2 linked regions of the Danio rerio genome follow. The protein of the gene in region 2 interacts with the protein of the main gene of each other region in a biochemical or structural test. Links are inferred from orthologs where the notes say so. Each region holds a gene or a part of one and is shown on either strand. Other genes may lie near its edges. The genes, in order: rnf11b and smurf2.

What was found.
Region 1: the proteins of smurf2 (region 2) and rnf11b form a complex in vitro, tested with the Homo sapiens proteins (3 studies listed by BioGRID and IntAct, with this or other methods). The link is inferred for Danio rerio from reciprocal best matches to the Homo sapiens genes SMURF2 and RNF11.

What each region holds. Positions count from the first base shown.
Region 1 is NC_133183.1:18,241,366-18,245,869, reverse strand, and holds the start of rnf11b (RING finger protein 11b), read left to right. Parts: upstream 1-1,461; 5' UTR 1,462-1,889; coding exon 1,890-2,012; intron 2,013-4,504. UniProt on the Homo sapiens protein: Essential component of a ubiquitin-editing protein complex, comprising also TNFAIP3, ITCH and TAX1BP1, that ensures the transient nature of inflammatory signaling pathways. Promotes the association of TNFAIP3 to RIPK1 after TNF stimulation.
Region 2 is NC_133178.1:24,110,675-24,115,125, reverse strand, and holds the start of smurf2 (E3 ubiquitin-protein ligase SMURF2), read left to right. Parts: upstream 1-1,637; 5' UTR 1,638-1,775; coding exon 1,776-1,827; intron 1,828-4,451. Other genes in the region: kpna2 (importin subunit alpha-1), read left to right, coding at 609-758, 985-1,074. UniProt on the Homo sapiens protein: E3 ubiquitin-protein ligase which accepts ubiquitin from an E2 ubiquitin-conjugating enzyme in the form of a thioester and then directly transfers the ubiquitin to targeted substrates.

The sequences.
Region 1 (4,504 bases), on a different chromosome or scaffold from region 2:
TTTGTTGATGATGAATAAAAATTAATTATACATGTTTCCACAAACCTTAAATCCAGTAATAAAATAACATTTTTGTTGTAGTTTTAATTAGAGTAAAAACAAAGTCTCATCTTTCAAATGATTTTACTATTTTTGTCTTTTTTTTTTTTTGCCAAATATGTGAGAACATGCAAACTCAACACAGAAATGCCAACTGACTTTCTTTTTTGAGCTTTAAGGGGGCTTTTTTAAAGAGTTTACCCAGAAATTAGTTAAAGAGTTATAGTCTTGACAGTAATTAGTCGCTTTCAATTTGATAAAGTGTCAACTAAAAATAGTACCATTCAGAGTGAAATAAAATGTTATAAAACATCTATATCCACCAATTATTCTTATTCCTCTGAAGTTAAAACATTGGAATGGTATTGTCTAAATAAAATATATAAACACATACAGTTAAAGTCAGAATTTAGATTTTTTTTTCTTTTTTTAAATTTTTCTGAAATTATGTTTAACAGAGCAAGTAGATTTTAACAGTATGTCTGATAATATTTTTTCTTCTGGTAAAAATCTTATTTGTTTTATTTAGACTAGAATAAAAGCAGTTTTTAGTTTTTTAAAAACCATTTTAAGGTCATAATTACTGGCCCTTTTAAGCTATTTTTTTTTTTTGATAGTCTACAGAACAAACCATCGTTATACAATAACTTGCCTAATTAACCTATCCTGCCTAGTTAACCTAATTAACCTAGTTAAGCCTTTAAATGTCACTTTAATCTGAATACTAGTTTCTTGAAAAATATCTAGTAAAACATTATTTACGGTCATCATTATACTGTCATGTTATTAAAGATAAGTTATTAAAACTATCGTGTTTAGAAATGTTGAAAAAAACTCTGATAAACAGAAATTGGGGGAAAATATACATAAGGGGGCTAGTAATTCTGACATGGCATATCTGTAATTTTGAACGATTGTCATTGTATGCTCTGAATGACAACATGTTTATTTTACATTTAAGAAATTTCAGTAAAAATCACTGAAACAATCAGTAGCTAGCAGGAAAAAAAAACGGAAACTGAGAAATACGAATTCCCATATGGTATTTAAACAAGAAAAGCAATGAAGATATGAAAGACGACCCCTTTTTCTCCGGATTAACTTGGATGGATTTTTACCTCCGAATTGCACTTTAATCATCATGACATCGATTTGGTTATAATGTAGTAGTCACTCAGTTTAGTTATTCCTCCAATCTGTTCTTCAGGGGAAAGGGGAAAGTCGTGCGTTTTATTTTTCAAACTGACAATTTTACAATTGAAGTGAACTATGCCTTTAAATCGGCCTAATGCGGTCAAGTTTAAAGGCTTTAAACCCCTGTTGTTGGTGTTGTAAGTCTGCAATCTAATTGGGTGACGAGTATCCACTAATAGCGCCCTTACTACTGAAGACGCCTACTGATTGGTGGATTCTGTGCGGAGGCGGGACTTAGAATGACTGCCTGAAAGGCAACATTGCCTGAGTCGCCATTGAGAGCGAGCGCATATTTGATATTGTGGAAATTATCTCCTGGAAGGCTAACCAGTGTGTTTACTATTAAGACGAAGAGAAAGGGACAGCATTACATAAAGAGGCTTTAAATCAAAAAGACGTGTTTCACAGGTTTAGACTGTGTGAATTTATACAAACATCGTTTCATATCCGCGTATGACACTTTTTCCAGGCTTCTTTGTGTCGACAATGGTTTGTTTTTCTCCGTCAGGATCTCTCATGGTGATCGGATCGTTGTAAATGAATGATAGAGGGTTTTGTCGTCCTGTTTAAAGGGACAGAAGTCTGGTTGGAGTGATTAAGGGCGGAAGGGATAGGAAGGATTTCAACATTTAGACAACAAGGAGTTTGGAAAGGAGATGGGGAATTGTCTGAAATCTCCCACTTCGGATGATATCTCCTTGCTCCACGAATCCCAGTCAGACAGGGCCAGTTTCGGTGACGCCAACGATCCAGATCAGGAACCGCCACCTCCGTATCAGGTAAGCTTATAAAAACCATTAGAATACACAAAGAAACTTTGCTTTTGACTAATATAACGTGCCTTGTGTCCACCCTCCTGCTTCAATCATAACATGAACACTCGCAATTCATAATATCAAGCAAATAGACGTAAATATATCACCAACAGCAAGCTCCCGCAGGAGCTCCATCTGTTTAATTTCGCCCTAGAGTGTGTGCCATACTAAATCCTCTTTGTTCGACGTAAACTTGGCCTGCAGTTCACGTCAGACCATCCAGACAGATGGACAGTCTGTTATTTCATCTTTACTGCCGCCTCCGTGGCGTGTTGATTCACCAGCAGCAGCTTTATTGCGATAAAGGTAACCATTCTGGTTGTGACGATTCTTGTTTGCAGTTGTGACGTCATGTCGATGTTATTCTCCTTGCTCGAGTGTTACACAAACCTTTTAAAATATTCTGTTTTCTTCTCTTCACAGACTGTAAGGGCAAACTATATGTATTTAATTTAAATATTACTAATACTGATGTTGTACACATACACAATGTTACTACCTCACTATATATATATTTTTGCAAACTTCCGGGAAGAGAGCTTAAAAATGCTTATAATATGACAATGGGCTGCTCTACATTGTCCTTTAGTCAGAAGTGTTGGGAAGCCTTGCACTCGGGGATTTCCCCATTTTACGGACATGTGGAATCAGTTGAGGTCTAAGTCATGAGATCATGATATTTTAAAGTGATGTCATGCTTTACAAAACATAGTTCAAATGGAAGAACTGGGTTGGCCAGGGTCTTTTTGTTGGATGAAACAAACCATGTCGAAGCAGATAAACTTGTGTAGCACCGTAAGTGAACGTTTTATGTCCAGTCACTGTGTTTTGTAAGAAGCAACATGACTCAGAAGATGTCTGATCTGAAATGTTTGCAACTGTGGTGGCTGTTACATCCTCTTGTTGTGTTGACCTTATCTGTTTTACAAGAACTCTCCAACAAACTGATTGAGGTAAAATTGGTTTAATATTTAGACATTCAGACTTTCGCATTAATAATATAATTTCTGAAAATTAGTCTTTGCAAATCCTAAATAGTGAAATTATATTAGCAGCCAATGACTATTGAAGTACAACATTGTTCAGAGTCAAATAAGTAGTGATAATGTTGTTTAAAGTCATACTTGCGTGTGATTTCAGACCCAATGTTCAAAGTACCATAGTAAACATTATAAGAAGTGTGTCACAAGTAAGTTGTCACTGAAATAATGTGCAAATACAAAACCAACTTTACATTTATAACAAATAATAGTGAGCCGTTGACCGAAGCACAGATAATCTTGTATGCATCTTGAAAGCACACACAGTAATTTCCTCACAACTGATGTGACATAATATAATCTTATTAAGCAAAAGGAACATTCTCTTCAGTCTTAGTTTCAGTTTTTTTCAGCTGAAGGTGGGACGTTAAGTGCTGGACTACTTTCATTTATCAGTTGTGCTAACATTGTTGTCCAATTCATACATTCAAAACATGATTCAAAAATACACATATCCAATTTGTAAGTTTGAAACACGGTTCAGGCGAAGCAGTGGCGCAGAAGGGAGTGCTGTCGCCTCACAGCAAGAAGGTTGCTGGGTCGCTGGTTTGAGCCTCGGCTCCGTTTCTGTGTGGAGTTTGCATGTTCTCCCTGCGTTCGCGTGGGTTTCCTCCGGGTGCTCCGGTTTCCCCCACAGTCCAAAGACATGCGGTACAGGTGAATTGGGTAGTCTAAATTGTCCGTAGTGTATGAGTGTGTGTGTGTGAATGTGTGTGTGGATGTTTCCCAGAGATGGGTTGTGGCTGGAAGGGTATCCGAGGCGTAAAAACTTGCTGGATAAGTTGGCGATTCATTCTGCTGTGCGACCCCAGATTAATAAAGGGACTAAGCCGACAAGAAAGAAATGAAACACGGTTTAAAAATACACAATATATGAATTCCAAATATGATTTAAAAATACACTAATCCAACTCATACATTTGCAACATGATGTAAAAATACACAAATCCAATTCGTAAGTTAGAAACTTAGTTTAAGAATACACAATTCATACATTCGAAACATGATTCAAAAACACATGTCCAATTTGTAAGTTTGAAACACGGTTCAAAAATACACAATATATGAATTCCAAATACGATTTAAAAACACACAAATCCAATTTGTAAATTCAAAACATGATTTAAAAATACACTAATCCAATTCATACATTTGAAACACGATTAAAAAATACACAAATCCAATTCGTAAATTCAAAAGACAATTAAAAAATACACAAATCCAATTTGTAAAAAATACACAAATCTATATAGAAAATTTGAAACAAGATTAAAAAATACACAAATTCAATTCATACATTCAAAACACCATTCAGAAATGCAAAAATCCAATTCATAAGTTTAAAACATCATTCAAAAATACACATCCAATTTGTAAATGCGAAGCACGATTCAAAAATGCACAAATCCAATTTGT
Region 2 (4,451 bases):
GTTCAGTAGCTCTTCTGTCATGTGTGCATTTACAGACCAATTTATTTGCCCTCCTGTGAATTTTATTTATTTTTTAAAATATTTTCTAAGTGATGTTTAACAGACAAGGGCATATTTTTTATTTTTTAAATGCATCCTACTGAGGAAAAAATATAAAGGGAAGTCTTGTTTCTTTTAGTTTGACTGGAATAACAAAAAATACAATTAAACTGTTAACTGGTGAGGTTGATGTAATTGGCCCGACTACTCTAAATCTCTGGATGCTAATCTTGCAAAATGACTAGTGATAATGATGTTTTGTTCTGATATTTAGTTACAATATTATTTGGTATAATCCCCTCTGACCCACACACAGTTATGACTCACTTTGGCTTCGTTATTTCAGATTGACTGAAAGAACTGATTAATCCAATTTTCTAGTCGCATAAATTAAGGAAACATCACAAACTTTCTGTCTGTGCATTTAAAGTTTTACTTAGTAAATGCATTTACTTTGTAGTCTGAGCACATTATTTTTATTCCAATAGTCCATTAATGCAAATAGGTAGATCTGGAACATGACATTATTTTGTTGTTCCTCTGTTAATATAACTTTGTTTTGTTTTTAGGCTGGAGAGAAGATTGGTGAGGTTGAAAAGCTGTGTTTGATGATTGAGGAGTGTGGTGGCCTGGACAAAATCGAAGCTTTGCAGTCTCATGAAAATGAAATGGTTTACAAGGCCTCCCTCAACTTAATTGAAAAATATTTCTCTGGAGAGGTGGGTTGATCAAATTTTGAATCTCTAGTTGCGCATTATGCATTCTTTTTTTGTGTGTGTAGAGTTTTATCAGTCTGCATATTAAAACTCTGAATTATTATACATTCCACAGACGGGATGGGGGGGGGGGGGGGGGGGTAATCTCAACTTTGAAGTTTAGTTTTATCTTTTGCTTTTAATTCTTTCAAGAACTGCTTTTCCTAAATCCCTGATTTCTGTCTTGCAGGAGGAAGAGGATGAATGTGTCGCACCTGAAGCTACAGATGATGGTTATGCATTCCAGATCAACGAAAACCAAAGCACTTTCAACTTCTAAATGTCTGACCTGTGAAATACTTTTGTATGATTGTTCCGATCATTTCTGCACGCCACTTATCTTGTTCATGTTTGTCTCTGTTTGGACCTCGTGCTCCAAGTTGTACATATGAATCTGTCAGTTTTAATTGTTGCAAATAAACCAACCGAAAAAGAACCAAAGTTGTTTTCTTCTATATTCAAGACATGGACTAAATAAAATATGAATAAACAATAAAGAGGAAAGACTGATGTTAACCGCCAAGTGAAATAAGTGTATATCCTACAGCACTATGAATATCAAGTAGGTCTGATGTCACAGTCTGGGCGGTTTAAGCGGCTCCACAGACACCTTGCAAACCACATTTCCTCAAATCGGTCGCCCATAAGCGATACAACTTTTCCCTCAAGGTCTTGGAATGGCAGTAGACGCCGAAAGCTGTTTGTTCGTGGAAAATATGTTAAACTTCGGGAGGTCTCTGTAAGCGGATCTTTTGAGGGGACGTCGTGGATTTACTTTCACAGACGGTAGAAATACGAGGAGCGCGTTAAAGCGTGTGTATGTATGCAGACATGGCAGGGCTGTGCACATCCGGGCCACAGGACCGTGACTCCATTATTTTCTGTTCACTGTGAAACTGGCGTTGAGGGGAACCAAAAAGCAACTCTGTAACACATTCGACCCGTTTTTTGTAGTAGTCAGCCTGGATAAGGGTCAAGGACATGTCTAATCAAGGAGTTAGAAGGAATGGACCCGTTAAGTTGCGTTTAACAGGTAAGGAATATGCGACATCGTACAGTTTCATCTGAAACTGGCTAGCTGGCTAACAGCTATTGCTGTAAGTCATTGTAGTTTTCTGCCTTTTACCGTGAACCTTCGCTTTGAAGAGCTCTGCGAGTGTGTTTATTTGTCAGATTATATGTTTTGGGTTATGGTGATAGTATGACTGAAACTGGCGTTTTGTTGCAGCGTTGCGTTCTTTAGCAGGTTGGACAACGTCATAATGGAGCCTCAATGGAGCGCGAACGCAACAATTACATTTCTTTAGCTTCAATTGTTTACATTCTTTTGGTTGCGTTGTGATTATCGTTTAAATACGCGCAGCTGCTGATGTGGACGATTGGCTTCGCGAAGAATACGGCTTATTGGCATGAATTGAATTCTTAAGCTTGCTTTATGTAGCCCGTTGCCCCAAATGCAAAATGTAAGAAATCACGTTGCTTCAGTCACTGCAATGCTAATCTGCGAGTGTTTATCTCAATTGTGTTTGAAAATGTTTGCACCAATTAGTACTGTAGACTACACTAAATACTACTAACTAGTGAGAATGGATATTACACGTTGCTTTATTAGATGGAAGAGTGCGGCAGAACATGCGTTAATATAGTATTTACCATAGAAAAGTTACACTGTTAAATGTTTATATATATATATATATATATATATATATATATATATATATATATATATATATATATATATATGCATCTGTATGTATATTTGTTACAACAACTTAGCAATAACTATTAATAACAGTCTACTGATTAATGCATGCGTTTAAAGCACGAGTTTGGTTTTTTCAAATTTCATAGTTAACATATTTTTCAGTTGTTTAGTATTATAATTATCCACATGCTTTTATTCGTAATGTTCTTGAACAGACTTTAGCTATTGTCTAAAAGTATTAAAAATAAATGTAAAAATTCTTACATATTCATTATCTGAAACAAAAAAATTACTTGTTTTATAAATTATACAAATCTTCACAATATAGGCAAACTACTACTCGTATACACTTTATCAGTGTGATTTGACTAACAGTAGAAAGACATACTATGATTTATGTTTATGTTAGCTATATATATTTTACAAATATTTCTTTTGTTCACCTGCATGCTAAGTTTAACATGATTTGAAATGCTATTTTATCTGACTTAAATGATTTTATTTTAGCTACACTGAATGGCTGTTACTTTAAAAGATGAGCAATTTATGCAAACATAAAGTAAGTTGTGTTTCCTGTGAGCGCTGCTGTTTCCTGTTAACCTCTCGGTTATGTTGGCCATTGTGCTTTAAGGACCCACCAATTGGCGACGAGACCCAACATTAAAGAACCAAAAAATGTAAATTGAATCAGTTCACGATTATCTAGCCGTCTGCATAAAAGTGTCTGTTCATGACCTCAGGGAATGCATTCCACAATGAAGTGGACTGTGCAGTGAAATCAACCTCCAAGTATGCAGCAGGATGTTGTAGTATTCATCATGACCCAGCACTGTGGTTGTGGGAGGAAGCTGCAGTCTGAGACACTTGAAGATTTGTCTGTGGGGCTCTTGAGATGTCTGGCTCGTGCATACAGAAAGAGCTCATTTTCCTCCCTGGTTGCTGTTGCACCCTTAAATGAGCTATTTTCACTTCGCCGTGGGTTGGAAAGAGGATAAAACTTTTACAATGACTGACCTGCTGTCATCTCTCAGCTTCTTACCAGTTTTCAGTGCTGCACTATATTGGAGATTAGCCTAGTTGCACTACAATGCAACCTTTTTTTCTAATTAAGACATCTTCTTTGGTTAAAACATTTAAATGCTAAAGCTCGTGTTTTAGTAGGATTATGACTTTAGAGTGGCTGATGCATATTTTTGAAGTATGTTAATGTGAATTTCATAAGCCATGCCAAACATTCTGATTTGCTTTGGAAAAGTTATTTTTAGTTTCTTACTTAAAAGTAAGAAATTAAGGTTGATCAGTGTAAATCATTGTAATACTGTTAGCACCAGACTTTGACTGATTTTTATTTACATTTAAATGTAAATGTACAATTTACATTTAGGATCATGGCGCTTAACAGGGTCTTAAGCGTTTTCAAAGAGCTTAGTTTTCGCAGGACAAAGATGCCAAATGTAACCACAACAAAACTTATGTGCAGGACACATGTGCAATCTGGCAGCCCGAAGTCCCAGGGCTATTGTTTTTTCAGTCGGGCTACCAAAATCTACACCGTGCATGGTTTAGATAGATTTTGGTTGTTTGTATTTCAAAGAAACCAAGTGAAACCACAACAAAAATCTGGTGGCGCAAAGTTCCAGGGCTATTGTTTTTTCAGTCTGGCTACCAAAATCTATCTAGATTATGCCCAGTGTAGATTTGGTAGCCCAAAGTCCTGGGGCTCTTGTTTTGTTGCTTTAAATTAAAAGATATCCTCACTAATGGGTGGGGCCTTCCCCCTCTGATGACATGTACAAAGGGAAGTTTTTATAAAGTGTGATTATAAAAAATAGAATTAATTAATTTTCACCTTTAGAAGCTAGCTATATTCCCACACTGTTGCCACAAAACTATTAAATCCCTTTTAAAAAGGATCTTTAAGTTCAACTTGGCAAGTTTATTACTACTCTTGA